Linked DNA regions of Pelodiscus sinensis. The protein of the gene in region 3 binds, or shares a complex with, the protein of the main gene of each other region. Links are inferred from orthologs where the notes say so. Each region holds a gene or a part of one and is shown on either strand. Other genes may lie near its edges.

The links. The genes of interacting proteins can lie anywhere in the genome.
Region 1: the proteins of GNAI3 (region 3) and RGS2 are in contact, whole or in part, in a crystal structure (PDB 2V4Z), measured with the Homo sapiens proteins. The link is inferred for Pelodiscus sinensis from reciprocal best matches to the Homo sapiens genes GNAI3 and RGS2. Residues at the interface, in NP_006487.1 of Homo sapiens: Val179, Lys180, Thr181, Thr182, Gly183, Ile184, Val185, Gln204, Ser206, Glu207, Lys209, Lys210, His213, Ala235, Glu236, Asp237, Glu238; in NP_002914.1 of Homo sapiens: Glu104, Phe105, Glu108, Asn109, Glu143, Ala144, Pro145, Glu147, Ile148, Asn149, Asp151, Phe152, Leu180, Asn183, Ser185, Arg188.
Region 2: the proteins of GNAI3 (region 3) and GRM4 are in contact, whole or in part, in a cryo-EM structure (PDB 8JD6), measured with the Homo sapiens proteins. The link is inferred for Pelodiscus sinensis from reciprocal best matches to the Homo sapiens genes GNAI3 and GRM4. Residues at the interface, in NP_006487.1 of Homo sapiens: Ala31, Lys32, Val34, Lys192, Asp193, Leu194, Thr219, Phe336, Thr340, Ile343, Ile344, Asn347, Leu348, Cys351, Gly352, Leu353, Tyr354; in NP_000832.1 of Homo sapiens: Pro616, Lys619, Ala620, Gly622, Arg623, Glu624, Arg676, Ile677, Ile680, Phe681, Gln683, Gly684, Lys685, Arg686, Ser687, Val688, Ser689, Ala690, Ile694, Ser695, Pro696, Phe781.
Region 4: the proteins of GNAI3 (region 3) and extracellular calcium-sensing receptor are in contact, whole or in part, in a cryo-EM structure (PDB 8SZH), measured with the Homo sapiens proteins. The link is inferred for Pelodiscus sinensis from reciprocal best matches to the Homo sapiens genes GNAI3 and CASR. Residues at the interface, in NP_006487.1 of Homo sapiens: Ala31, Lys32, Gln304, Glu308, Lys314, Asp315, Thr316, Lys317, Glu318, Ile319, Tyr320, Thr321, Phe334, Asp337, Ala338, Thr340, Asp341, Ile343, Ile344, Lys345, Asn347, Leu348, Glu350, Cys351, Gly352, Leu353, Tyr354; in NP_000379.3 of Homo sapiens: Lys644, Ala645, Asn647, Arg701, Val702, Val705, Phe706, Ala708, Lys709, Pro711, Thr712, Arg716, Trp719, Phe801, Ile869, Val872, Arg873, Thr876, Ala877, Ala880, Phe881, Lys882, Val883, Ala884, Ala885, Arg886.

What each region holds. Positions count from the first base shown.
Region 1 is NC_134719.1:50,074,499-50,081,527, forward strand, and holds the start of RGS2 (regulator of G-protein signaling 2), read right to left. Parts: upstream 3,023-7,029; 5' UTR 2,914-3,022; coding exon 2,807-2,913; intron 1,526-2,806; coding exon 1,424-1,525; intron 1,311-1,423; coding exon 1,249-1,310; intron 387-1,248; coding exon 220-386; intron 1-219. UniProt on the Homo sapiens protein: Regulates G protein-coupled receptor signaling cascades. Inhibits signal transduction by increasing the GTPase activity of G protein alpha subunits, thereby driving them into their inactive GDP-bound form.
Region 2 is NC_134737.1:11,322,570-11,329,442, reverse strand, and holds the start of GRM4 (metabotropic glutamate receptor 4), read left to right. Parts: upstream 1-3,851; 5' UTR 3,852-4,282; coding exon 4,283-4,810; intron 4,811-6,873.
Region 3 is NC_134737.1:15,366,673-15,373,564, forward strand, and holds the start of GNAI3 (guanine nucleotide-binding protein G(i) subunit alpha-3), read right to left. Parts: upstream 3,007-6,892; 5' UTR 2,926-3,006; coding exon 2,808-2,925; intron 1-2,807. UniProt on the Homo sapiens protein: Heterotrimeric guanine nucleotide-binding proteins (G proteins) function as transducers downstream of G protein-coupled receptors (GPCRs) in numerous signaling cascades.
Region 4 is NC_134711.1:139,643,418-139,650,280, forward strand, and holds the start of extracellular calcium-sensing receptor, read right to left. Parts: upstream 3,023-6,863; 5' UTR 2,753-3,022; intron 2,726-2,752; exon of another isoform or gene 2,578-2,725; intron 2,375-2,577; exon of another isoform or gene 2,190-2,374; intron 1-2,189. UniProt on the Homo sapiens protein: G-protein-coupled receptor that senses changes in the extracellular concentration of calcium ions and plays a key role in maintaining calcium homeostasis.

The DNA.
Region 1 (7,029 bases), on a different chromosome or scaffold from region 3:
TGGCTCAATTTTCCAACCTGAGAACTGGTATGTATACATTATTGTACCAAGGTGATATTTGGATGTTAATAATCAGTACTCAGGGATATAAATGCAGCTTGGCAACAAAATCTTAAAACATGAGCTCACAATGGATGTGATGAAAGCCTGGAAGTGGTCGTTAAAATTGAGTGCTCAGAGATAGCAGCAATGGGGGTTTTAAATAGAGGGATTTTTTACCTCTTTGGGAGCTTCTTTTTCAATGAAATCACTGTAGATTTTTTTAGCCTTGGATGTCAGCTTCTGAGGTGACTTGATTTTCTTGAAGTCTTCACAGGCCAGCCAGAAATCGATGTTCTCCTCACAGAACTCTGATTTTAAAAAAGCTCGAAATGCTGCAAGACCATCTGGAGAGAAAGAAAAGGAGGAAATATATGAACTGAAAACATTCCAAGAATCTTGCATTCAGCAATAGTCCACGTATTTTCCTACCAAAAATATACCTGCTCTGAGAGTTCCTATTTCTTTCAAAGGGCCAGGAACTTTAAACTGTCTATGTATTCATATAAAGAACATTATTAGGCATGAACAGTTTCCCAGGCTTCCTTTTAAAAAAAAAAAAAAAAAAAAAAAAAAAGAACTGAAGTTATTTTTGAAGGAAAAGTGCAAAAAATGAAAACCATATAAAAATGGCACACTTCCTTTAACATCCTGCTAGGTTTTAGAAGACAAAAACCAACCCCCTTCATTATACAGTTTCTCTCCAGATCTGAATTCTAGTATGTTAACCTTTAGACTGGAGTAAATATTTACAACAAAGCTATAAACCTTTGGAAGACATTTGCAATGGAAAGAGTGACTCAAAGTTCATTATCAGCAAATGCTAATATTTTTTTCTTAATCAGCAATTAAGTGGTTTTCTTTGCAGAGTGGCTATAAAACCCACAGAGCCTCAAGTCCACAGTGGCTTAATGTGAATATGTTTAATAGCACTAGAAGGAGGATTTGTCTTGGAGAGAATTATTAAGTGCAGAAAAATCTTTGATAAAGATTTTAGGAAGTGGGATTTTGGGTTGTTTAAAATAGAAGTGTTGGAGACCAATATCAAGGTGAATGCAGGAGGTTATTCAAAGGGTAATTTATAATACGGATGGAAAACCACTGTTTGTTCTTATCTGAGGTAGTGTTTATTATTACAAAAACCCACAAAGACCAAAACACCTTTATATTTTTACAGTGATTTGTTATTTTTTTTTCAGACTGACTTACATTTATTAGCTAGAAGTTCATCAAAAGCTTCTGACCAAAGCTGGGCTTCTTCAGGAGAAGGTCTATATAAAAGGATGGAGAGTATAGTTAGGTTGTTGAACAGCACATTTTTCTACTCCCTTGAATGCTAAAATATTTGAAATTCATTTGAGTGAAATCTGAATATTTAATTTACCTGATGTAAGAATGTTGCTTTCCTTTTTTGTTGGACTTGGTTTTTGTAGAAGTGGAAGAGTTTTGCAGGAAGTAGCTCAACCTTGTTTTCCAATCCTTAATGCTAGAGGAGAGAGGAAGAGAGGAAAATACATTAAAATGAGAGTTAACTGAAATTATACTTTCAGCTTTACACATTTTGACTAGAGATGGAACTGAGCCTGTAATCCATAAAGAGAATGAAAAATTGCTCTTGTAGTTGATGGTAGTTGTGCCTGCTTAATTGTGGGATCAACCCTCAACTCTTTAAGTTCTATTTCAAGAACATGGGATTCAATCTTTCTGTCTCAGACAACCGTAGTTTCCCCACTGCACTGATGGAGCACTTGAGATCACACAGCCACTGGAAAGTGACTAATTATAACTAAGGCATCTGTAACAGTTTCACAATCAGAGGTGTGCTGCTCTGACGAAGGACCTACGCTCTTCCCCTAAGGCCCAATCCTGTGGTCTGTCCTCAGTGGGTGTTTTAGCAGATTGAAAACTTGGGATGGGGGCCTCTGGTGCTCAGATATTTAACCCTCTTCATTTGGAGATTTAATCTCTTCTTGTTGGATTTTTGGAAGAGACAAAAACTGGATCTGCGAGATTTAAAAATGTCTTTTCAGTGCGGCAGCTAGTCTAGTTTAGGGCCATGTGGTGAATGTGGATCAGGTGAGACTAAACTCCACAAGAACTGCAGCACAATTGTCTCCATTAGCCTCTATGTGAAACTGGGAATTGAAGACTAATTTATCCCTTACATTTTAAATATCATGTCTTATCCAGGCAATGCAAACTGAATATTCATTATAGATCTAATAATGTAAGATATTCAAGATCTGTTTTTGCTTTGGCAAGAAGCAAACTCAGTTAAATTTTAAAAGTCAAATGACAGAACCATTTAAAGACACCAATCAAATGTAAAATTGCACAGCTAGCTGGGTAAATAATGAATGGGGGAAATATGTGCTTACATTTTCACCACACAAGCATAAACTGAAATAAACCATTTCTGCACAAACCCTACATTTTTTCTGAACTGACGATGACAGTTATATTTTTTATCAAATGATCAGTTCAACAAAAACAGGATTTTTTTTTCTCATGAGTGCTTTTGAAGTGGAGATATTTTGCCATTTTAAAAATCCAAGCTGACATCAAATACATAAATCAACCCATTCTTGCACTGCTTAGGTATTGCACCCAAAGTCATTTTTAAAAAGTCAGTGCTGTCAGATTCTTACCAAATAGTGTAAACATTTTCTCCTTACTGAGATGCAAGCTCCCTATTTTGAATCACTGTTCTGAAAGCCACAGGTAGCTATTTATATGAATTAAATCTGCTATAAATACATAAACTTACACAGTTCTCTTCATCTTTCCTTTCTTCTCCTCATTTTGACAGCTGCTGGGAGTTCTCTCCATTTGTCCACAGTTGTGCTGAAGAGCAAGGAAGATTGCACTTTGCATACTTCTTCTGTTTTATCCCAGGGTCTATCGCTGATCTGCAGCAGCACCCTTTTCTTCACTGAGAAGTTGAACGTGAAGAGAAAGGCAGCCTTTTTTTATAGAAGGCAGTAGGGGAAAGGGTTGGGTTTCGGTTACGCCTCCTGAGCACACTGATTTGCTTGTGGGAAGCACACCAAAGCACACTCCCATATCACGTCCTTAAAAGGCTCTTACTCTGAGTACAGTGCTGACGCAGTGTTCTCTTCTGTTTTATGCAGTCTCCACTTGCAAAAAAACCTGGTCTGGTTGCTGCAGATTCCAGCAAGATGGAGAATTTTTTTTATTTGTTGCCTGCTGCATGTGTCTTCACAAAGCTTGAGTGCCCTGCACATTTGAAGGCAGAAGTGCAGAATCACTTGTTGGTTTATAATCCAACATGGAAAGAAAAACAATAGGAATAGCGTTAAGGGTCCTAGCTGTGCTCTTTAAAAATTTACCCTTACCTCCTATCCTTCTAAAGGAAAATATACCTTGAATTTCTATTTGTGGATTAATATGTTAACAATATAATAATGCTAACAAAATAAGATGTGTTATTGCACTCTCCAGAATCTTCAAGTAATCTGGAATTGTCCCAACTGTTCTACAATTGATTTAAAAAATGCTAACTAAGATAAGCAATGTCTCATATTTCTCATCAGCTTATGTTTGTGTCTGGGAAGGAGAGGATATACCAGGATCACTGCTGAATCATCTGTATTCCTAACATTATTCAGTTGGAACTAAAAGATTACTGTACCCCTGATGCAAAAAGTTTTGCACTTGGAAATGTTTGTACAATTGGTATTTGTTCTCATGCTAATACTGCCTGGAAGTTCTTTATGGAATCCCAGTGGCTTGGCAGAGGTAGCGGCTAATTTTCTGTAGTACTGAGTGAAGGTTAGGTGACAGCGTTATGTTCAGTTCAACACATTAGAAATTCATTTTTAACAAGCCCATATGCTAAAACTGTTTTTGCTTTCCAAGAAGCCAGTTCTTTTGAGTTTGCATCTTATTAAAAGAATAGAGAAGGGTTCTAAGGCCTGGTTCAGATACCCTTACAAAAGAAAGATGTGAAAAGTTGGAGTGTACAATACATGGGAGATTTTATCTCAGTGATAACTTGAAATATTTTTTTCATACTCATAAGCATGACAAAACATATATGTGTAAGCCGTGCCTGCATACTGTGGCACTCTGTCCCCCACTAGTAGCGTCAAGGCCAACTACAGCTTGATGAGCCTGCTATAGCCTTGGCTCACAAACCTGGAATTTTTAGTTCACGCAGTAGAGGGCCAGGCTCTGGTATTAAGATCCAGAGGTCTCAGCTTCCACTAGCATAGGAATGAGTGCCATACATACATAGCAAGCCTTGCTTCCATATATTTTCGTAACTCAGCCATTTGCCAATAAATTGTGCATATTAGTGCTAGTGCATGTACTCATTTATCTGAATGCCTCTTCCTTTAGCTAAAATGTAAGCATGTATGTGGTACCTTCTGCACTGTGTTAAGCAGTAGAGGGTGTCCTGCTAGTATTTTTCCCCTCTACCAACATATAACACTTCTCAAATTGTAATGCTCCATACCTATGATTAATGCAGCATGCCTCCTGCCATCTATGATATTGTTTATGTCACCAGTCACTCTAATGCACAGATGGAGAATATAGTTTAGCATGCAAACCAGGGATGGATTAACTCTTCTGGGAGCCTGGGGCCATTAGATTTTGTGGGGCCCCCTAAGCTCTGGGGTGGAGCAAAAAAAAGGAAGGGGCTGTGGATTGAGGCAGAAAATTGGATGTGGGAGGGGGTGAGAGTTCTGACTGGGAGTGCAGGCTACATGATGGGGTTGCTGATGAGGCATTTGGGATGCAGGACGGGACTCCAGGCTGGGCTTAAGGGGTTTCGAGTGCAGGATGGTACTCAGGGCAGGAGGTGGAGGTGCAGGGTTTGTGAGAGTGTTAGGGTGGAGGAGGGGGCTGAGTGCAGGAGGGTGGGATTGGAGCTCAGGGTCTGGGTAGGAATTAGGGTGCAGGAGGGGGCTCAGGGATGGGGCAAGGGGGGGGGGAGTGTGCAGCCTGGGCAGGAGTTAGGGTGTGGGAAGGGTCTCAGGGCTGGGGCAGGTGGTGGGAGTGCAGGGTCTGGATGGGATTTAGTGTGGGGGAAGGGGCTCAAGGCAGGAGGTGAGATGCAGGTTCTGGGAGGGAGTTTGGATGTAGGATAGGGCTGGAGCTGGGGCAGGGCTATGGGGTGTGGGATCTAGATGGGAGTTAGGGTACGGGAGCTAGCTCAAGGCTGGGGCAGAGTCTTGATGTGTGGAGTCTCAGAGCCAGTTTGTGTGATGGACGGGGGCTCAGAACTGGGGCAGAATCTGAGTGGGATTTAGGGGGCGGGAGGAAGCTCAGGGCTGGGGTAGGGAGTTAGGGGGCTAGTCACTTACCTCTGGCAGATCCCCTTTGGCAGAGATGACCATGGGTAGGGACAGAAGGGGAGGGAGCAGATAGCTCTGCACACTGGCCTGTCCTTGCCTACAAACACTGCCCCCTGCAACTCCCATGGGCCACAATTCTGGGGGCTGAGGACAGAACCTGGAGGCGAGAGACATGCACATCCCGAGCTTCTGGCGTTTGCAGCTCTAGGGGGCAGGGGAGGCATGGTAGCACATGGACCTTCATTCCCTCCTCCTCCCGCTAGGCAGGGCTGGATAGCACACAGGGGCTTTAGTGGCTGCTAAGGGGACCAGCAAAAAGATCTTCACTTTTGGTGGCCTGGAGATCTTTTTGTGGGGCCCCCTTTAGTCCAGGGCCATGGGCTGCAGCCCCTACAGTGCCCTTTCTTAATTCGGCCCTGATGCAAATATGTAACTCACTCTATTTAAAAGCTTAATATGACCTCAAGAGAGTCTAAGGACCATTTTGCATAGCTTCGAGCTTAAAAACAAAATATCAGTATTTTTGTTTTAACACATATTGGGTACGTCTAAACTAGCCCCCTAATTCGAACTAGAGAGGCTAATGAGGGTGACCGAAATTGCAAATGAAGCGCGGGATTTAAATATCCTGCACTTCATTAGCATGTTTCTGGGTGGTCGCCATTTTGGAAATTGACTAGCCCGGAGTAACTGCCTGCGTCTACACACGGCAGTGAAATGGGAGTTCGAAGTAAACCCCTTAACTCAAATTAGCTACTAAACTTCATTCCACAAGGAGTAACAGCTAATTTGAGTTAGGGGTTTACTTCCAACTCCCGTTTCACTGCCGTGTGTAGACGCGGGCAGTTATCCGGGCTATTCAATTTCCAAAATGGCGATCGCCCGGGAACATGCTAATGAAACGTGGGATATTTAAATCCCATGCTTCATTTGCAATTTTGGTCACCCTCATTAGCCTCCCTAGTTCGAACTAGGGGACTAGTGTAGACGTACCCATTGTTATCTTTAAATTCATGTTAGTTCATCTATAATACAGTCTATATATTTCTATGTTAATCTATATAGTTAAGGCAGTGTTTTGACATAATTTAAAAAAATGTCCTATCCTATTTCCAGTTTGCATCATTTTTGCATCACTATTTGTTCTCCCTTCACAACCCCATAGTTTGGAAGTTGAACAGGTGATAAGAATCTTGCTTAACAGGCACTTCCATTTTCAAAGTTAATTGGGGGAAAAAAGCAATAATGAAGTTTACAATAAAAACAAGACAAAATGCATGATTCATGCTGAGATTTTCCATATATCAATCGACAGCCAACTGCTGTTTGGCAGATGCCTAGGAATAACCGAGCTGTTCCCTGCATGCCTCTTCCATGATTCTGAGGAGTGCTTTTTCATGAGTGGAGCAAACATCACAAGGTTCATCGGTTTGATTTGGATAAGACCCCAAATTGTAAATGCTTAACCAAAGTTTATCTTAATTAAGAGGTTGGTGTTCACTGAGACAGAAGAAGCCTCCAACATGAACTACTTTGACCCTTGGAATGGGTTATAATTGGAATAAGGCCTAGGGCAGTTTCAAGTCTGTTCTTGTTTTAAACCAAACTGGTTTGTCCACCCTTAATCAATGGGGTATGTTGCCATATGCAGATGATGCACTAGTAG
Region 2 (6,873 bases), about 4.0 Mb from region 3:
ACAACTGCTAGGGAGTAGCATGGGTCAGCTTGCTTACCCAGCTCTCTCTCTAAGAATGGTACAAGCTCCTACATCTTATAGAAAACTACCAGGAAGCAAAAGCCCTGAGATCCAGCTCCTGTGGGAGCAATGCATGTGAGAAATGGTTAATGACCAGGGGACAGAGCGTGTGATCAGAAGTTGGTACAATATTTTTATGTGTGTGGTTCAGGCATGAAGGAATGAGTCCAGCCCAGGGGAAATCTAAGCTCGGGTAAGGGGCATATATGTGTGAAGGGAGTCTCGGGGAATTCTGCTTTCCTGAAAAATACACTGACAAAAAAACACTGTTCAGGCAGAGCAGCATCCTGGATAATTTCACACTCTCATGCCGGTTTGCCAGCGCAGTGTCACTTTACAGAGGAAATTTGAGAGTACAGATACAAATTTCCCTCTACATGCAGTTAGCATGGAAATGAATCGGAGACACATTGACGTGGCTGGTTGGAGACAGGGGAAGTGCAGGTTTGCAGGCCCCAGAAAGATGATTCCCCTGGAGTCACAGGCAAAGCAGCTTGTGGTAGGGTAGGACTGTCTCTGTTGCTTGTATCTCAATAGCTCCTAGAAGCCTCATTGTGCTGTATGTGGGCAAAATGTGAGACAGTTAACAGTTTATTTATCTATTTAACCTATGGGGTTAAATAGAGCAGGGTGGGAAGAAAACAGTGTTATTACCCCACTTTACAGAAGGGGGTACAGAGATTAAGTGACTTGCCCTAGGGCACAGAGAGAATCTGTGGCGGAGACTAGAACTGACCCCGTGTCAGTCCTCAAGACTGGCTGTCCCATTACTGCTTTGGACAGGCTGAATTGGTGAGCTCATGGCAGCCTTATGGGGCATCTCTTGCTCCTTGGGGGTTCAAACATACAAGGTGCTTAGCATCTGCAGCCCCTGTTGATTTTAATGATTGCTGAGGTGCTCAGCACCACCAGGAGTTGCTTGACTCCTTGGGGAAGCTCCTTGGCAGTGACTCCATCTCCAAATTCCAGCCCTAGTGAACCCTCCCAAATGCTCACGCCCTTTTGGGTGCAGCCAGTTCTCGCCAGATGTTCCTTGCAAGCCAGATGCTTTGCTTAGTTGCAGGCAGGTTCTGTCCTGGCAGCTTTTCAATGTGAAGCAGCCTCCAAAACCTCACAAAGGAGATAGAAGAGCAAGTGGAATTATCATCATAGCTAAGGCCAGTTCTTTTTTGCATTGCCAATACTCGACTCTAAGACACTGCCAACACCTAATGCTTTCAAGGAATGTGAATGGTGTTCAGAACACACCTGGCCAGCTGTGCCATGAGATACATGGGAATGTGTGGAGCATTGTTGCACATTGGCAAATTTTTGGTGTTTTCTTAAATACCTGGACACGTTAGCTCCTTGAATCATGTTATTACATGCTAATCTTAGTTTACATGGAAAATAAAATAGTTTCTAGCCCTGTGGATTGTGGAGAAAAACTCAAAACCGGAAGTCTAATAACTCAAAAGACTAAAGGCCAATGAAAACCTCAGATCTGTTGTATTTTAAAATCTCATGGGGTGATAAAAGATTTTTGAATGCTGAGGATAGGCAGTGTGATATAGGCAGGCGCTTCAGTTCCAGAGTATTCCCTGAAGTCTATGATTGGATTGCCCCACCCCCTTTTTAATAGCTAGGTGCAGAGATGCTACATAATTATGGATCCTATTTGTGATGGAGTCACGGTGATGGGCTGTGTAATTAGAAGGCATTTATAGAGTCATAGAACCCTAGGGCTGGAAGAGACCTCAGGAAGTCATCAAGTCCAGCCCCCTGCCAAAGGCAGGACCGATCCCAACTAAATCAACCCAGCCAGGGCTTTGTCAAGCCAAGACTTAAAAACCTCTAAGGATGGAGATTCCAACACCTTCCTAGGGAACCCATCCCAGTAAAGACTGAAGCAAAGAAATCATTTAGTTTCTCCGCAATGGCTTTATAGCCCTTGATTCCTCCTTTTCTATCTCGATCATCTAGGGGACCCACAGGTTTTTTAGCAGGCTTCCTGCTTCTAATGTACTTAATAAACATTCTGTTATTTCTTTTTGAGTTTATGGCTAGCTGTTCCTCAAAATCTTTTTTTGCTTTTCTTATTACATTTTTACACTTGATTTGACAGTGTTTATATTCCTTTCTATTTATCTCACTAGGATTGGACTTCCACTTCTTAAAAGATACCTTTTTGTCCCTCACTGCTTCTTTTACATGGTGGTTAAGCCACGGTAACTCTTTTTTAGGTCTCTTGCTATGTTTTTTAATTTGGGGTATACATTTAAGTTGGGCCTCTATTATGGTGTCTTTAAAAAGTTTCCATGCAGCTTGCAGGGATTTGGCTCTAGTCACCGTGCCTTTTAATTTCTGTTTAACTAACCTCCTCATTTTTGTGTAATTCCCCTTTTTGAAATTAAATGCCAGGATGCTGGACTGCTGAGGTGTTCTTCCCACCACAGGAATGTTAAATGTTATTATATTATGGTCACTATTCCCAAGCGGTCCTGTAACTCCCCCTAAACGGTAAGAGCTAGGACCACCAAATTTGGTAGGCACCTCCTTTTATCATAACTTAAAGCAAGGTCAGTGTTTGGTTATGCCAGGACAGCGAGATGTGCCTTGAATGGGATTGTTTCTCATCAAATGGAAAGGGAGAAGTATGATAGGAGGGACAGTTATACTCATGAATGACCACAGGGGGGCAGCAAACACCCCAGCATCAGGGAGCAGCCAGCGGCTGCCCCCACCCGCTGCCATGAACTCCTCCTCACTCCCCAATCCTGACTCCTGCACCTCCACACCTCTAGCCTCCTGTCTTGAGCCCCCCACACCTCCAAGCCCTGCCCCGAAGGACCAGAGGAACGCTGCATAGGTCTTCTAGTAAAGCAGTGCTTCAGGTCTTGTAATTTTGGGTGACTTTATTTTCTAATAGATACTTGGAGGGTTTCTCTCCTTTGTTGTTTACCCAGTTGCGATTAGAATGGAGGAGCTTGGAGAGATCTGCTGTGGAAGGGGGCAGCGTTCACACACTTTGTCGAGTTGCTGGAGGAAGGAGGGAACAGAAGGTTGTGCCCTAGGGTTTGTGTTCGGTTGTGACTAACAACTTCTCCTGGGGGAGGGAGGGAGGCGCTTTCTGTGCAGACAGACATGTCTCTCTCAGGGCTCAGGGGTCTTCCATACATCGATCCTGGTCCTTTTCTTCTGCTTCCCTGCTCCTCACCAGAGCCCTTCAATAAGCAGCAGGATCAGATTTCCTATGAGGCAGCTGTGACCAAGTGGAGGCCCAGTTAGCAAGAACTACCACTCCCAGCATGCAATGCTTCTCCTAGGTCTGAGTAGCCTTGAGCTGGAGAGACACGTGACTGGAGGAAAAGGGCTGGCTCTGGAGAGGTGGTGGCTGGCCCAGAAGGCCAGTCAGAGGACGAATGCCATCCCAATTGGTGGAGGGAGAGGTTCAGGTTGGTTATTATCTCCTGGAGCTGACCCTATGATCCCACAGCATGGAGGACCCCCGTTAACATGGGTGTAATGCAGGCAGCATCAGCCCTGACAGCAAGGAGGATGTGTTTCCTAGTAGTTAAAGCATGTGGCTGGGGTGGGAGGAGACTTACACCCATCTGTATAACCATAATTCAGCTTCATGGCTTTATGCCTCAGTTTCCCCCATGTAAAAAGACACTGTGGGTTGCACCGGCTGGGAGCTAGGGTCTAGCGTTTATGCCTGTTGAGCTCCAGATGAAAGATCTGGGTAGCTGATACCCTCTTTATGCCTCTGTTTAATGGTCTTTCTCTTTCTCTCTCTTTTCAAGGCTTGTGGAGACAGGAGCAGAGGGTTTGGGTTGGTTTGGTTTTTTTCCCACCCTCTTCTCCTGAATGTAAAGTTATGCAAAGCCCAGAGCCAGACGGGATCCTCCAAAGGGCTGGGCAAAGGACCTGGTAAAAAACCAGCCCACCCTAGAAACCTCCTGGGCTTGGCTATCTGCTGCAAGATGGATGCTGGCGGAGACCAGAGCTGCTGATGGGAAGGTGACCTAGAGTGGGGAAGGAAACTATGCTGCGTCCCCTTGGAAAGGCTGCAGCCGGACACGCTGTCGCCTCTTCCTTGGCTGTCTGAGAAGTTACCCACCCCACCCCCACGCTCCTTCCTTGGTGAGCTCAGTGCTGGGCTGCGGAGCCAGGGAAGCGACAGGGGCTCAGTGCCGCATGGCTCTCTAGGCTGTGTCGGGGTTTCGGCGAGTCATTGGCGATGCCTGGGAAGAGCCGGGGATCTTTTTGCATGGAGCAGCTCTCCGTCTGCCTACTCCTGAGTGCTTGCAGCTGCTGGTGGAACCCAGCTGGCTCGGCTAAACCGAAGGGCCAGGGGCATCCGCACATGAACTCCATCCGCATTGACGGGGACATCACTTTGGGAGGCCTCTTCCCGGTGCACGGCCGGGGGGCCGAGGGCAAGGCCTGCGGTGAGCTGAAGAAAGAGAAGGGCATTCACCGGCTGGAGGCTATGCTCTTCGCCCTGGATCGCATCAACAACGACCCTGACCTGCTCCCAAACATCACCCTGGGCGCACGCATCCTGGACACCTGCTCCCGGGACACCCACGCCTTGGAGCAGTCGCTGACCTTCGTCCAGGCCTTGATTGAGAAGGACAGCACTGAGGTGCGGTGCATCAACGGCGGGCCCCCCATCATCACCAAGCCGGAGCGCGTGGTGGGGGTCATCGGTGCCTCCGGCAGCTCCGTCTCCATCATGGTGGCCAACATCCTGCGCCTCTTCAAGGTAACGCCCCCGGCTCACGGTCCCTCACCCTACCCTGGGGGGTCCTCTCACACCTTCCCTCTGTTTTGGGATGAGGGAAAAGCACACCTGGGGTGACTGATGCCGCCTCCTTGCTGTAGCAGCTAAATAACCCACCAGCAACCGTTTTATCGATAATGGAATGTACTAACTGCTCCCTCTCAGGCAGGGGAGGCCAAGAGGGTGGGCGGGAGGGAAGTGCAAGCTGTCTGCTGGTGTTCAAAGTACCCCCTCTCTCCAGGGGATTTGAGTTCTGCCAGCCACACCCTGCAACGATGCCTTGAGTTAAAGGGGCTTCCCCTCCGGTCCCTGAGTTCTCTCCTGCAGGTGCCTTGGATTGTGGTGCTCCACAGAGGGCAAGGGGAGGTGTGTCTTTGTGGCAGAGAGGCTCGTGCATGCTGCTGCCATATGCGGGTGGGTGACGGGGATGGAAGGGATTTCCCGCGGGAAAGGTTCCTCACCAGCAGGAGGAAGATGCCTGCTCCAAGCAGGGAGTAACTTCTTTCACGGTGGGGAGGTGCTTTACCTGGTTTATGTGAGGCCGTCGGTTTTAGAGGCAGAAGGAACAGCCTTAGGGCGGAGACCTTAGGGCCCCTGCGTTCTATTGCCAGCTCAGCCGCTTGTGCGTGGTGTGAGCCTGGGCACGTCTGCGTCACAGCCTCCTCTGCCCGCAAAATAGGCAACAAGGGTGCTCAAAGGCTGCTTTACTGGTTGGGCTTTGGGAGATCAGGAGCCAGCGCCCCCTACATGTGGCAAATCACTTAGTGGCTCTGTGCCTCAGTTTCCCATCTGTGCCACGGGGTTAATAGCAGTGCTGGGCTCTTCAGGGGGGAAAAATACAGCAAGGCCATTGAGATGCTTATTAGATGTGGGCTGTAGAAGCAGCAGACATTTGCCTCTTCTACTGTCTGGGGTAGGGGCCTTTGCACCCCCATTACGCACATTGTTTGGAGAGCCAAAGAACCAGACCCTGAGTATGCTGGAAACCACTTCAGGCCAGAGCATGCTGCTGCCCCCCCGGTACCTCTAATTCCAGCCCTCCTGATGTGGGGCCTCTCCTTTGCAAGACTCCCTGAATGCAAGTTGAAAATGAATCCCAAAAGGTGGTACTGGCCCTGTGACACACAGTTGAGCTGTTCTCATTGCCTCCACTAGAGGGCAGTGACCACACGCACCAGGTTGCGAAGAGACCTGGAGCCAGGGTTGTGGTGCAGAGCACGGTTCCCCTTGTTACCTTGTCTCCTGCGGACCTAGTCCCGTGGTCCTTCCCTCGTCACCCAGAATGAGGCTCTGCAACAGGCTTGCAGCATCTCCTTCGCGGTGGCCGGGGACGACTGGCCGAGCAACGCCCGGCCTTCCGTCCGCCATGGAACATGCTTTGGGGGTTTGGTGTCCCTCGGTGAACGCTTGCTCCCCTGGTGCCCCGGGGCTACGCTATTGGGGCAACTCGTCTTAGCGCACCTCCGGACCCTGAGCAGAGCGGGGTGTCTGGGAGGAGGCAGTGCTGCTGGGCGTGAGAAGAGAGGAGAAAGGGGAGGGATGAAATGGATTCAAAATACAGCCCCTGCCCTATAGCTAGGGGGGCCATCTCCCACGCGGGCCGGGGCCGGATGAGGGACCCCCGGGAAAGCCTGGGCATGTAGGGAATGGAGTCGGTGGTTCAGCAGAGGGCACTGGTCAGTCCTCCATTGTCCAGGGTGGCAAGTCCTTGAGGGAGAGTTTCTCCCAGTGACACCCTCCCCTGGGCCTCCCCACAAGGGGCCTGGACGTTGCCCCTCTTCGCCGTTCCGCCCACACCTCTCCCTTCCCTTCTCCCCTCTCCCACTCCCTGCCCTCCTCTGCAGAAACAATAAACTGCACTTTTTGTTTTGGAACAAGAAACACCGGTTTTTTTAATCGGGGTGAATGTAACTGGGGAAAGAACCTGGGAGAGTGAGGGGAAAGAGGGAGAAGAGGAGAAAGAAGAGGCTCAGGGTTGGAGCAGGGAGTGGCACCTGCGTTGGGTGGGCCCACTGCCTTTTGTGCAGGGCCCTCGGTGACCATGG
Region 3 (6,892 bases):
AAAACCAACAAGGGCCTGTAGTCACATGACGTGTGGCTGAAAAAAGGCTACTCCAAAAATTCTACAATCTCTCTACAAAAGGGTGGTTAGACTCCTCAGTCTGGTGTAACCCGTATGTGGGTTACAATGTTTTAGCAATGTCATAACAATGAAGATTCTGTTGAAAGGCTGAGGCAAGGAAAACTGACTAGCTCTTGCCTATGTGAGCTTTCCCAACCTACATAATTTTGCAGAGAAGTGCAAAACTAGGCCAGTTATTTGAATAGATGCTGAGATGTATATGGAGACGTCTCACCTTCATTCAAAGTATTTCTGAATTGTTCAAAAGGGGATTAAAGTGATTTCTGAACTTTATAAAGCAACAAATTTCTTCAAAACAACTCTGCATCAGCATTGAGTGGTTTGCTCCAGTTACTGAAACACTCCAAAGGTCTGTTCTTACCTTGCTTCGTTTCATGAAATTGTATCTCAACCTAGACATTTTAGCATTTTTCTTTTTAAAAATGATCTTGAAATGTTTAAGATTCATATGCTATTAGTCTAGCTTTCGAAATTTTAATAAAATGACTACAGCATGCAGTGCATACATTTTATTTTAGAAGTTGATTGCTCCGTTTTAGCTGTATATTACTAAATACGTAGAGTGCAAAGATCTTTGCAGAATCATTTAATCACTGGTGACATTAAAAGACTTTACTAAGCTAGGATTTTTTTTAAAATACAGGTTAGATGGAAACCTTTTCAAAAGCACAAACGGCCATGAGGCCAATTAACTGCCACGGAGACAATAGGAGTGAAGTGCATAACCACCATTCATGCTTTTGAAAAATCTCTGCCACAGAGTCTGAGAACACTGCATCACTGCTACATGTCTGATTTGTACAGAAAAGCTGTACACAGGCATAACTGCCAACACACCTCTGCAAACTCCTTTTAAAGTGGCTTTTCAGTGTTAGCTATATTCCAGCATCGTGGCACACAGAAAAACCCCACGCACACAGTATGAAAAAGGAGGTTACTAATCCCATTGAGAGTCCCTTCTCTAATCATTTTGCAACTCCAACAAAGGAGCAAACCTCCAAGGAAGAAGACCTATAACCACAAACAGCCAATCAAAAAATTTTCTGTGCACACAAAGGACATGAACCACAGGGCCTCACACCATACACAGCTGAAAAACAAGTTAAGCAATACACACATTGCTTATAGGATTCTTATGGTTGTCTCCCCTTAGGAAACCAGAAATCTTAGCTTAACATTTCCCACATAAAGCAAAAACTCACTAGTCGGTGTGCTTCTGAGTAGATCAATACATACACCAAAGCTATTTTGTCTCTCAAATAGAAAGACAACTTTGCAAAGCAACTGATTATGAATGATCAGATAATCCACATTCCACCCCAATCAATACAAGATGGTACTTCATTTTATTCTTAAACTCATTTGAAATGACTGCTTTCACTTGGGAGTCTACTACAAATTAACAGACTTCATTATTCAGCAAGTTTTCTCCAAGAAATCTTTAATATTTCCTTGCTTCCTTGTATCTTCATGTGCTTCATTGCACCTCTATGAACCAGCCTTCAATAAGGTTCACAAAAGCCATATAGAACATAGCACTTAGTTTGTAGCCCCAAAATATGTATCTGTTCAAAGAACAACATTGGAAAAAAGCCCAACAAGTCAGAGATCTCCAATACGAACGAAAGGATTGCATCAGACCCAAGGGCCATGTAGCCCGGCATTCTTCTGTCTTCTGACAGTGGCCAGTGCCAGGTGCCCCAGAGGGAGTGAACAGAACAGGGAATCATAAAAAAATCCCTCTCCTATTACCCAGTTCCTGCCTCTGACAAAGAGGCTAGGGCAGGGGTCTCCAACCTTTTTAAGCAAGAGGTCACTTTTCGAATGTAAGTGCAATCCAGGACCTACCTCAGACCCTATTTGTTCCACGTCCTTCGTGCCCCTTCTCTGCGGCCCTACCCCTGCTCACTCCGTCTTCCCTACCGCCTCCCTTCCACAGGGCAGGGGCAGAGGATTAGGACACTGGTTCTGGTCTTGGGCTAAATAAGGGATTTAGAGCGTGAGGGGCTCAGGGCTGAGCTGGCGTAGGAGATTGCGGTGCAAGGGGGGGGTCAGGGTAAGGCTCTGTAAAGGAGTGTGGACCCAGCCCTGGGGGGGAAGGGCTGGTTCGCGCAGGCCCCCCCCCCAGCCGTGTCCCCCAGCCCCGGGGGGAAGGGGGGTTGGTTCGGGGGGGGCTGGTCCGCGCAGGGCCCTCCCCCCCCAGCCGTGTCCCCCAGCCCTGGGGGGAAGGGGGGTTGGTTCGGGGGGGGCTGGTCCGCGCAGGGCCCTCCCCCCCCAGCCGTGTCCCCCAGTCCCGGGGGAGGGGGGGCTGGTCCGCGCGGGGCCCTCCCCCCCCAGCCGTGTCCCCCAGCCCCGGGGGAGGGGGGGCTGGTCCGCGCGGGGCCCTCCCCCCCCAGCCGTGTCCCCCAGCACCGGGGGAGGGGGGGCTGGTCCGCGCGGGGCCCTCCCCCCCCAGCCGTGTCCCCCAGCCCCGGGGGGAGGGCTGGTCCGCGCGGGGCCCCCCCCAGCCGTGTCCCCCAGCCCCGGGGGGGGTCTGGCCCGCGCGGGGCCCCCCAGCCGTGTCCCCCAGCCCCGGGGGAAGGGCGGTTGGTTCGGGGGGGGGGTCTGTCCCGCGCGGGGCCCCCCCAGCCGTGTCCCCCAGCCCCGGGGGAAGGGCGGTTGGTTCGGGGGGGGGGGGGGGTCTGTCCCGCGCGGGTCGGTCGCGGCGCGCCCCGGCCCCGGCTCACCGAGCAGCAGCAGCTTCACCTCCTTGGCCGCCTTCTCGCCGTCCTCGCGCAGGTTGCGGTCGATCATCTTGCTCCGCTCCACCGCCGCCTTGTCCTCGGCGCTCAGCGTGCAGCCCATGGCGGGGCCGGGCCGGGCTGCGCCGCTCGCTCTCCTCAGCCAGGCGGCCCGAGCGCGGCTGGCTGGGGCGGGGCCGGATATCCGCTCCGGGGCCTCCGCCCGCCCGCCGGGAGCGCGGCGCACCCTGGGAAATGCAGTTCGCCCCGCCCCCTCCCCGCCGCGAGCGAGCGTTGCATGCTGGGAGATGCAGTCCAGTCGCTGAGCCCGCCCCCGTCGCGTTGCATTTCGGGACTTGTAGTCTTATGTAGTCTGCTGGTGGAGGCACGGTCTGCGCATGAGGGACGCTGTGCATGGCGCTGGACAGGACCGCATGGGGCTGCCCTCCCCCGTGGGCTGGTGTCTCTCGTGGGACTAGGTGTCCACTGTATTTACCTGTGCTACTCAGTGGGGTCCATGTGCACCCCCAGCCCTCATGGGCATCACCCACCGCCAGCGCCTAGCTAGGTGCCCGGGCATGGCTCAGGCGACCCTTTGGTGCCGGGACACGGAGAACTCTCCGGTGGCTCTGTGCTGCATTCCCCTCCCAGCTGGAACAGGGCTAGATTCAGCTCCCAAGTCCCTGCTGCTTGAGCTAAGAGCAAGTTGCTCTTGGCTGCATGGAGCTTGGCAAATAGCATGGCAGCCTGGAGTCCAGCCCGCAGACGGCAGCATGCAGCGTACCTCACTCCAGGACATGCACCCAGCGAAGCTCATCACAATGGTGACACCACCGTAAAACGCAGCGGTGCCTGCACGAATCATGGGCTCTTCATTGTAGCAGAAAAGGGTCTAACGCCAGCCGGCGGCTGGAAGTTGTAGACAATTCAAAGGGGAAAGAAGGTACAAATTCTAACTGTGAGAGTAATTAACCAGCGGAACAAGTTACCAAGGACCAGCATAGGTGCTCCTGTCCCTGGCCATTTTGCTATTTCTTCTAAAACATTTGCTCTAGGAATTGGTATGGAGCGGGTCTCTGCCCTTACACAGGAGGTCAGATGAGAAAATCACAGTCTCTGTGGCTACGTCTACACTGGCATGATTTTCCGGAAATGCTTTTAACGGAAAAGTTTTCCGTTAAAATCATTTTCGGAAAAAAGCGTCGAGATTGGCAGGATGCTTTTCCGCAAAAGCACTTTTTGCGGAAAAGCGTCCGTGGCCAATCTAGACGTGCTTTTGCGTAAAAAAGCCCCGATCGCCATTTTAGCCATCGGGGCTTTTTTGCGCAAAACAGTACTGTGCTGTCTACACTGGCCCTCTTGCGCAAATGATTTGCACAAGAGGGCTTTTGCCCGAACGGGAGCAGCACAGTATTTCCGCAAGAAGCACTGATTTCTTACATGAGATCGTCAGTGTTCTTGCGGAAATTCAAGTGGCCAGTGTAGACAGCTGGCAAGTTTTTCCGCAAAAGCAGATGATTTTGCTGAAAAACTTGCCAGTCTATACACAGCCTGTGATTCTCTGCTACATAGCTGGCAAGTAGCCCTATCACCTAAGGTACCCAAATACTGAGCAGAGGCCAACATGAGCCAGAGACTCACCACAGAGTAAGGCTCTGAGCTACCAAACATCAGCTGCTGCTTGTTCCCTGTGCTCTCCACGTTTCCCTTTGGAGTGTGTGATGGGGATATACAAACCTCACACTGGTAAGTAAGGGGCTAAAGAGGCAGCGGCTAGTCCCAGATGGCCTCATCCCAAAGGGGACAGGATTAGTGCTGGACAGCTGAGTAGGCAGTGGAGGTGAACTGACCTCCATCATGGAATGGAGCACACCAGGGGCCCTGCTGCTGCCTAAGACTCTGGTTGTAGAGACTTTGCCAGACATGGGGAGAGCCAACAGGTCGGAGACTTCCCCTTTGATTTCAGTTCTTTGATGGCTACTGGGAAAGGGAACTGGTGAGAAAGCAACCCAGGGAGGCAGCAACAGAGTAGCACTTTAGGTACAGAACGTAGCTGCCTCCCTGGATTGGACCCTGCTGAAGAGGGATCCTGGGATCCCCTGCCAACTCCCACCAGAGATGGAAGAATCTGGGCAAGGGGAGATCCAGAAGCCCATTCCCTGGCCTAGCCGATAGTGATACCCCAACAGGAGTGTAGATGCCCTGAGAAGGGAGGGCAGAAAGCAGTGACCAAGCTGGCCTGGGCACAAGAAGAGCAGACTGCCGCAGGGCTAGCACAGCTGTCCCCGGAGCTGGTGCAAGTCTAGCAGCCCTGCTAGGCCTCTGCCTGATCACGAGGGCTGGGGCCCAGCCTCCCAGGAGCACCAGGGACTGAGGGTACATTGGCTGCTATGCAGGGCCCCATTTGTGGCCATCTAGCAAAGATCCTCTTGGGGACCCATCACGGCCAGATCTGTACTGACAGTGAAGAGAGAGCAGGCTGCGAATGCATCTGGGGGAAGAGGACCACTCCCATGCTGCAGATGTTACATCTTTTGGGATCTATTTGGAGCCTGGTTAACCGCTCTCAGCATAGGGACCCTCGACACCCCGGCAATTGCAGGGCATGCTCCTCTCCCACGGTGCCTTAGCCACGTCTTTGCCTGAACCTAACTCCAGAGGAGAGTTCAGTCCCTGTTCAGTCCTGGCAGCTGTGCTGAGGTTGCCACTCATCCGTGTCATGCCCAGGGCTCCTTTTGTGATGAAGATGCTTGTGTGTGGGGAGCCAGTCTGAGACCCGCCAAACTCATCGCTCCAGGGGAACGAACCAGCCTGTGATGGCAGCACCTCTGAGTTACCGGGTTGCCAGGTGTCCGGTATGGAACCGCACAGCCCGGCATTTGCGCCTTCCGTCCTGTCAAAAAAGTCAGAAAATACCGAACATCTAAAATGTCTGGACAGAAGGCCACTCGGGACATGCTCTGCTGCTCGCGCTGGTTGGGATCTAAAGAGGCTGAGACTGCATTTCAGCCCTGGCTTTTTTTTTGCTCATCAACTTTTTCCTTTATTTTCTGAACAGAATTTTTTCCCAGCATTTTTTTTGGGGGGGAGGGGAGCTTTGGTATTTTTTGTGAAACCATCTGGCAACCCTACTGAGTTAGGGTACGTCTAAACTACATGGCTCCGATTTGTTTGTTCAGCAAAGGGAAATGAAGCCGCGATTTAAATAATGAGGCATAATGGGGAGGTCGATAAAGGGCTTTCAGGTCGGTGCGGGAGCATCCAGACTAGCGCGCTGAGCTGACAAACAGCTGATCAGCTGTTTGTCGGCTCAGCGCGGCAGCCATTTAAATTTAAATGATTATTTAAATTGCGGCTTCATTTCCCTTTGCTGATCAGCCTAATCTACATGGCGCCATCGATGGAGCCATGTAGTTTAGACACACCCTTAGGGATGTTAAAGATCAGTTAATTGAATAGTCGAGTAACTTCATTACTTCTTATTGGTAAGTCGACTATTGGGTAGTCTCTGGGGGCGGGGCCTGCAGCCGCTGTATCAGAGGCAGCAGCACATAGCGCCAGGCAGGAGCTGGTCCATGAGGGGAACCAGTTTAAAAACTAGCTCCCCTTGTGCCTGTTGCCCAGTGCTGCTGCCTCAGATAAAGAGGTAGCAGCTCAGGCTGACAGCCTCTGTCTAAGGAGGGTCTGAGCTCCCTGACCCGGTGCAAGCTGGAACTGAGCGGGCTGCCTGCCTGGCTCCTAATATACTTGAAATGCAGAGCTACAGCAGGGGTAGGTCCTGGACCCAGCATGATCCAGAATTGAGTTGGGCGGCTGGCCAGCCTGCTAAAAAATTGACTGGCAAGGGTGGGGGGAGGGAAATGTGTGTAGTCTACAGCATCAACCTCTACGCTTTTGCTTCTCGATTAATTGGTTAATCGACTTCGCTCTGACATCCCTGTCCTGAGTCCCTGCATCTTGGGCAGAACAGCTCTTCATTCCCCACCCCGGATCCACTGCTCCCCCAGCAAGGAGCACAAGAGCCCGCCCTGGAGGCCTGTGCCCCCCATCCAGGGGGGCAAGAACATCTCCTTCTTCCCCAGCCCTGACAT
Region 4 (6,863 bases), on a different chromosome or scaffold from region 3:
GGCTACTGGGCTAGATGGACCTTTGGTCTGACCCAGGACGGCCATTGTAAGCTCAGGGCTCAGGGTCGGGGGTCTCACTGGACCCCCTTGATTCTCTTGCACACCTGCTCCTGGGTGGCCAGGCTGGCAGCTATCCTGACCTAGCCGGCCACTTTCCTGTGCCTAGTGCGGAGGTCGTGGTCCACGATGTCCGCACTAGCCCAGGCGGTTACCCGCCTCTTGCGGTCTCGGGCAAGCTCCCGGGAGCCGCCAGCCTGGTCCCGGGAAGAGGGGGAGGGCTGGGGGGCATCAGTTGGGTGGCTCGATCCGTGCCAGGTGCAGGGTCTGCTGGCTGGGTGCTGGCAGGCTTGCACCTGGCATGGGCACCGTAGCCAGCCCGTGGCCCTTTAAGGGGTCCGGGGCCGGGAGGGGGGCATAGAGTTTCCCTGGTGCTGGCCAGAGTGGCCACCAGGGAAAGCTGGGGAGGGCTAGCCTCCCACTAGTTCGAATTAAGGGTCTACACAGCCCTTAATTCGAACTAGTAAATTCGAACTAGGCTTAATCCTCGTGGAATGAGGATTACCTAGTTCGAACTAAGCGCTCCGTTAGTTCGAATTAAGTTCGAACTAACGGAGCGCTAGTGTAGCGCCTATGAAAGTTAGTTCGAACTTTGTAGTGTAGACATACCCTATCTGAACAGAGCTAGGGTACCATGGAAAGAGAAGGATAGGCAGGTGACAGCACCTAGCTAATTCTTAGCTGCCCAGCCCTGGCATGAATTAAAAATACACAGTGGCGGCTTTAATTTATGTTGTTAGCAATGGGTACCTCAGGGAGGCAAGGGATCAGCCACAAGAAAGCCTCTCTCAGCCACACTCACCCTATTCTCCCCAAACTTGCCCCTCCTACTCTTTTGGAAGGTATTAGAGCTGGTGTAAGAGGAATCAGAGTCTCTACATTAGAAGAAATTGCCTCTATATAGGGGAAATTCTCCAAGAGGAATCCCCACATAATGAAGCTCACTATGCGCAATATGAGTGAAGTAGGTAGTGCAAAATTGATTTAGCAGACCAGAAAATCTGACCCACAGACATTCTAGATTTTCTGAGACATTCACATTATTTGTATTATTCACCTTCTGTCAAGATTATTTGAGACAATTTTTGCAGCCTGTGTGATTTCTGTAAAATATATGACTGAATAGTTTTAATTTTAGTTAACTGTCTTAGTCCCACTAATTTTTCCACACACCTTCACCTTGAAAAAAATGTCTGAGTAGCACTGCTTACCAGTGACTTTTCTTTCACTAGGATGGATAAATGTATGAAATATTTTAGGGTAAAATTCACAGGTTTTACAATTCAGCCGTTAACGGAAGCTTTGCCTGCGTAAGGACAACAACATTGTGCAACAGATTGCTCTTTAATTTCTATTATCTCAGAGATGAAAGTAAGCTTGTGTGCCCTGGTGTGCTGCTCTGATAAGGAGGAGCTGTCTGGCTGGGGTACTTGGCTGCAGAAGGAGGCAGTGGATGCTCCCAGAACTGCTCTTGGGTCGTTGCTACAGGATGCTGCACTATGCACCAGCCAGTCAGGCAGGTGACCAGGGCTGGCTGGAGGCACCCCCTCCCCCATCACACCTCAGCCCTGAGACTCCCATTCCCTAGACGCCCTTTGAGGCCAGGGCTGTAGATCTCCCCCTCATATTCGCATGGGGCAGCTGCTGTCTGTTCCCCTTCCTTGCTATCAGCGAATGAGCAGAAAGTGCAGATTGCTGCGTCCCTCTCGATGTGGCTGGTCGGGGCAGAGCAGCCCTGCACTTTGGCCTTGCTCCCTGACAGGGCCAGGAAGGGGAAGAGCAAACAGCTTTAGCCACTCTGCCCTCCCTGTCCACGCCCCCTACACACACCCGAAACCCCTGCCCTGAGCCCCCCACATACATTTCCTACAGGTTCTGTTATATCACAACCCCCAGTGTCCGCCCAGGAGGGGGTGCAACACCAGGGCACTTGCAAGGAATTTAAGTTACTTTCACTCCTGGACACATTAGTCATTGGCCTTGCTGCCATCCCCCTTCCCAAAATGCTCTAAAGCTCCCATGCCCCAAAGCGCCCCAGGACAACGCTAGAGACCCCGGAAAACCCGAAACCACCGAATTTTGGGCTCCCACAATCTGTTCCTTCCAGCCATGCATTCCAGCGGGGCACTCACCACGGCGCACGGAGCCAGAGGCACCAGCCCCTCCCGTCTGGGTCTGGGCAAGCCCCTACGCTTCGCCCCGCGCGCCCCCCAGTCGCAGCACCCGGGTGAAAGCCTGCCAGGTCCCGCTAGGCGCACCAGCCTTCGGGGCCCGCGCTCGGAAAGCGGAGCAGGTGGGCGAAGTCCCGGACTGGGGCGAGCACCGCGCAGCCGGCGGCAGCAAAACCCGGCGCCCCCCCCGGGGGTGGGGTGGGGTGAGGGCGCAGGCGGCAGCAGAGCCAGGCTTAGCAGGGCTGCTGGCTCGCGCCGCGCTCCCCGGAGCCCCCTGGCGCCCCGACGCCCCGCTCCTCGGCCGCGCACCCCCCTGCCCGCCAGCCCGCGGCGCCGAGCCCGCGCTGACCTTGCGAGGAGCGGCTGGGCTCGCCCAGGCTCGGGTCCGGGCGCAGGGGGAGCGCGGCCCCCGGCGGGTCCCAGCCCACCCAGAGAGCCGGCGCGGCCCCTCTGTGAGGCACCCTCTGCCTGCAGCCAGGGGGTAGCAGCGCCCCGGGCTCCCCGCCCCTGCCCGGCTCGCTCACCTCCTGCCCCGCTCCGCCTGGGGGCCGGCTCGCTGCCTCGCCAGCTCCGGGTTCGCTGCCCGGCGGGAGGGGAGGCAGCGGCTCGCGCGCTGCGGCTGCGGAGATGCTCGGGCTGCGCCCGGATCCTACCCCTCCTCCGGCGCCGGCCAGGGCGGCAGCATCTCCCGCGGGTCCCCCAGCGGTAGCAGCGGCGCTTGCAGCCGCGCGGGAGCCAGCGGGAAGAGAAGCTGGGAAAGGCGCCGCTGGCCAGCTCCCGCTCTCCGCGCCCTTCCCCCCCGCAAGTGGGCAGGCGCCCAGGCACATGCTCCGCACATGGACAGGCGCCCGGAGATAGGTGGGTGGACTCCCACACAGGCGGGGTGCTGTGCCTATCTCCCCGTGTACAAATCAGTCACCCCCCAGCTCCTCACCCACACACAAAAGTTCAGAGAGGGAAATACACCCACTTCACAGATGTTGAGGTTTCTGTGCCTTTTGCTCCACTCATCTGAAGAAGTGGGTTGTACTCATGAGAGCTCACGATCCTGTATATATATTTGTTAAACTCTGAGCCCTGGTCTACACTAGGGAGGTATTTTGCGATAACTCCCCTTATTTTGAAATAAGAAGTGGAGTCCACGCTATCAAGCAGTGTTCGCTGTAAGCTAGGCACTTGGGTAGCCTCTCAGGAGAGATTCAGGTGCCATCTAGGGGTACGTCTAGACTACATGCCTCTGTCGCCAGAGGCATGTAGATTAGGCTACCCGGCATAGGAAAATGAAGCTGCGATTTAAATAATCGCCACTTCATTTAAATTTACATGGATGCCACGCTGAACCAATCAGCTGTTTGTCGGCTAGCGCGGTGGACGCCCGGGTGTCGACATCAAAGGCATTTGTTGACCACCCAGGTAAACCTCATCCCAGGAGGCATACCTGGGTGGTCGACAAATGCCTTTGATGTCTACACCCGCATGTCCAGACTACCTCGCTGAGCCGCCAAACAGCTGATCGGCTCAGGCGGCAGCTTTGTAAATGTAAATGAAGCCGCAATTATTTAAATCGCCGCTTCATTTTCCTACACCTGTTAGGCATGTAGTCTAGACGTACCCTAGCTGATTAGCAGAGCACCCACAGAGGTGTGTATTTCTACTGGTGGTGCACATCTGTATATGCCTTAGTGCACATAACAAAGTCTATTCCATCCATAGATGGAAAAAATTAGAGGGAACACTGCTACCAAGCCTGTTATTTTGAAATAAGTGGCTGGTTATTTCGAAATAATAATTCCTGCTTATCAGGAGGATTAATGCTTGTTTTAAAATAGTTATTTAGAAATAGTGGTAGTGTAGATGCTTCACTGCTGGTATTTTGAAATAACTACTCCCCTGAGTCATTCAAACTAATTACTCCGCAGTGCTTCTTTGGACTCTAAGTCGAGGTCACTCATCCGTATTAAGGATGCGTCTAGACAGCACCCTTCTTTTGGAATAAGCTACCCCATTTGTGCTATGCAAATGGTGTAGCTTATTCTGAGTCTAGGTTGAAAGAGCTTACTTTGAAATTTAGCGCTGTGTAGACAGTGCCAAATTTCAAAGTAAGGCATTATTCCAGCACTATTTTGGGAAATAGCAGGCGCATTTAAAGATGCAGTGTTGCTATTTCAGGATATTTCCGGTATCCTGAAATAGCGCCACAGTCTAGACATACCTTTAGGGAGCCTGCCACAGACTATTTTTGAGGCTTCCCTGTAGTGTGGACACACTATTTCAAAATTATTATTTCAGGAGTTATTATTTCAAAATAATTTCCTAATGTAGACATGCCCTAAGGTGTTACAGGACCATTTGTTGCATTTTAAGGGTTTTTTTAGTTACAGACTAACAGGGTTACCCCTCTGAAACCTACTACACAGGTGCACAGAAAGAGCATACACAAATATCAGTTACCACAGCACACCCATGCAACCATCCTATACTAGGAACGTACTGAATTCACATTCCAGGGGTAATATATGGGGATTCTGGCTCTGCATGTGTCACCAGCATTGACCCCATACCCACTTGAGAGAACATGAACTCAGAAGCAGTGCAACAGGGGGGCATCTCCCTCTCTAAGCCCCTGACTGGAGCCAGGTGGCATAACAGCAAAGCCCCTTCCCATCACCCACCCCCTTTTGCAGCCATTCTGGCACCACTTCTATAATAGTTTCCCAGACCCCATGACATTTATCAGTCACCCTTACAATGTCTGAGAATCTCTGGAACAAGGAATGTATCCACAAGGCATTCCTATGAGGTGGGGAAGTGTTATTTTCATTTTACATGAACTGAGGCAAAGTAGAGAATGGGGACTTGCCCCCAAGTGACAGGGAAACCTGTAATAGATGCAGGAATCATCCACATCACCTGAATCCTAGTTCACTGCTGTAACTACAAGACCCTGACTGAAGTTATTTGACATATAGTAAAAGAAAATATATATTAATATTAATAATATTCATATTAATATGATTAATAATGGGAAGTGTTAGTGGCATCATACCAGGCACTAGTGGGACCTCATCTGCAATACTGGGTGCAATTCTGGACTCACCATGTTGAAGAAAGATGAATTCAAACCGGAACAAGTGCAGAGAAGGGCTACTAGGATGATTTGAGGAAAGGCAAAACTACGATATGAGGGGAGACTCAAAGAGCTTGGCTTTTTTAGCCTAACTAAAAGAAGGCTGAGGAGAGGTATGATTGCTCTCTATAAATATATCAGAGGGATAAATACCAAGGAGGGAGAGGAGTCATTTAAGTGCCAATGTGGACAAAAGAACAATTGGATCTAAACTGGCCATTGACAAGTTTAGGCTTGAAAGATTAGACAAAGGTTTCTAACCATGGCTACGTCTAGACTGCAAGCCTCTTTCGAAAGAGGCTTTTTCGAAAGATACTTTCAAAAAAGCCTCTTTCGAAAAAGAGCATCTAGACTGCAAGCAGTACTTTCGAAAAAGCAAGCCACCTTTTCGAAAGAAAGCACCCAGGCAGTCTGGATGCTCTCTTTCGAAAAAGCCCTGTTTGCATTCAAGAACGCCTTTTTTCGAAAGAGCACTTTCGAAAAAAGGCATTCTTCCTCGTGAAATGAGGTTTTCCGCCATCGAAAGAAAAGCCGCGTTCTTTCGATTTAATTTCGAAAGAACGCGGCTGTAGTCTAGATGCAGGAGAAGTTTTTTCGAAAAAAGGCTACTTTTTTCGAAAAAACCCTTGAGTCTGGACACAGCCCATCAGAGCAGTGAAGTTCTGGAACAGGCTTCTGAAGGAAGCAGTGGGAGCAAAAAACCTAACTGGCTTCAAGACTGAGCTGATAAATGTATGGAGGAGATGCTATGATAAGAGTTTATATAATGGCACATGGCCCACCAATGACTTCTAGTAGCAAAAATCGCCAATGGCTAGAGACAGAACTTAAGATGTGGGCGGCAGGGGAGAGAAATCTGTGTTACAATAAAGAATTCTCTCTCAGGTGTATGGCTGCTTGGTCTTGCCCACATGCTCAGCATCTAACTGATCACCACATTTGAAGTCAGGAAGGAATAGTTTTTTTACCTTCCTTTTGCAGCATGGGGCATGGGACCCTTGCAGGCTTAAACTAGTTCAAATGGTGGATTCTGAGTAACTTAAAGTCTTTAAAGCATGATTTGAGGACTTCAGTAACTCTTCCAGAGGTTAGGGGTCTATTACAGGAGAGGGTGGATGAGGTTCTGTGGTCTGCAAAGTGCAGGTCAGACTAGATGATCACGATGCTCCCTACTGAGCTTAAAGTCTATAAGAAAATAACATCTATTTACCACTCTTGTATGCCACACATACAACTGAGGCAATTTAAGCTAATACTATGAATAGGTAATAGAGATACTACAAAACTGTTGAAGCTGAAGATTCTGGGTTTTATCCCTGCAGTTTAGCTGATGTTTCTGACAAAGTCGATCCCAGACCACAAAAGCTTATGCTCAAATAAATTTATTAATCTTTAAAATGCCAAAGGACTCTTGTTTTTGCAGAAACAGACTAACATGGCTAACTCTCGGAAATTAGCTGATGCTTGTGATAGTGTGTGTGTGTGTGTGTGTGTGTGTGTGTGTGTGT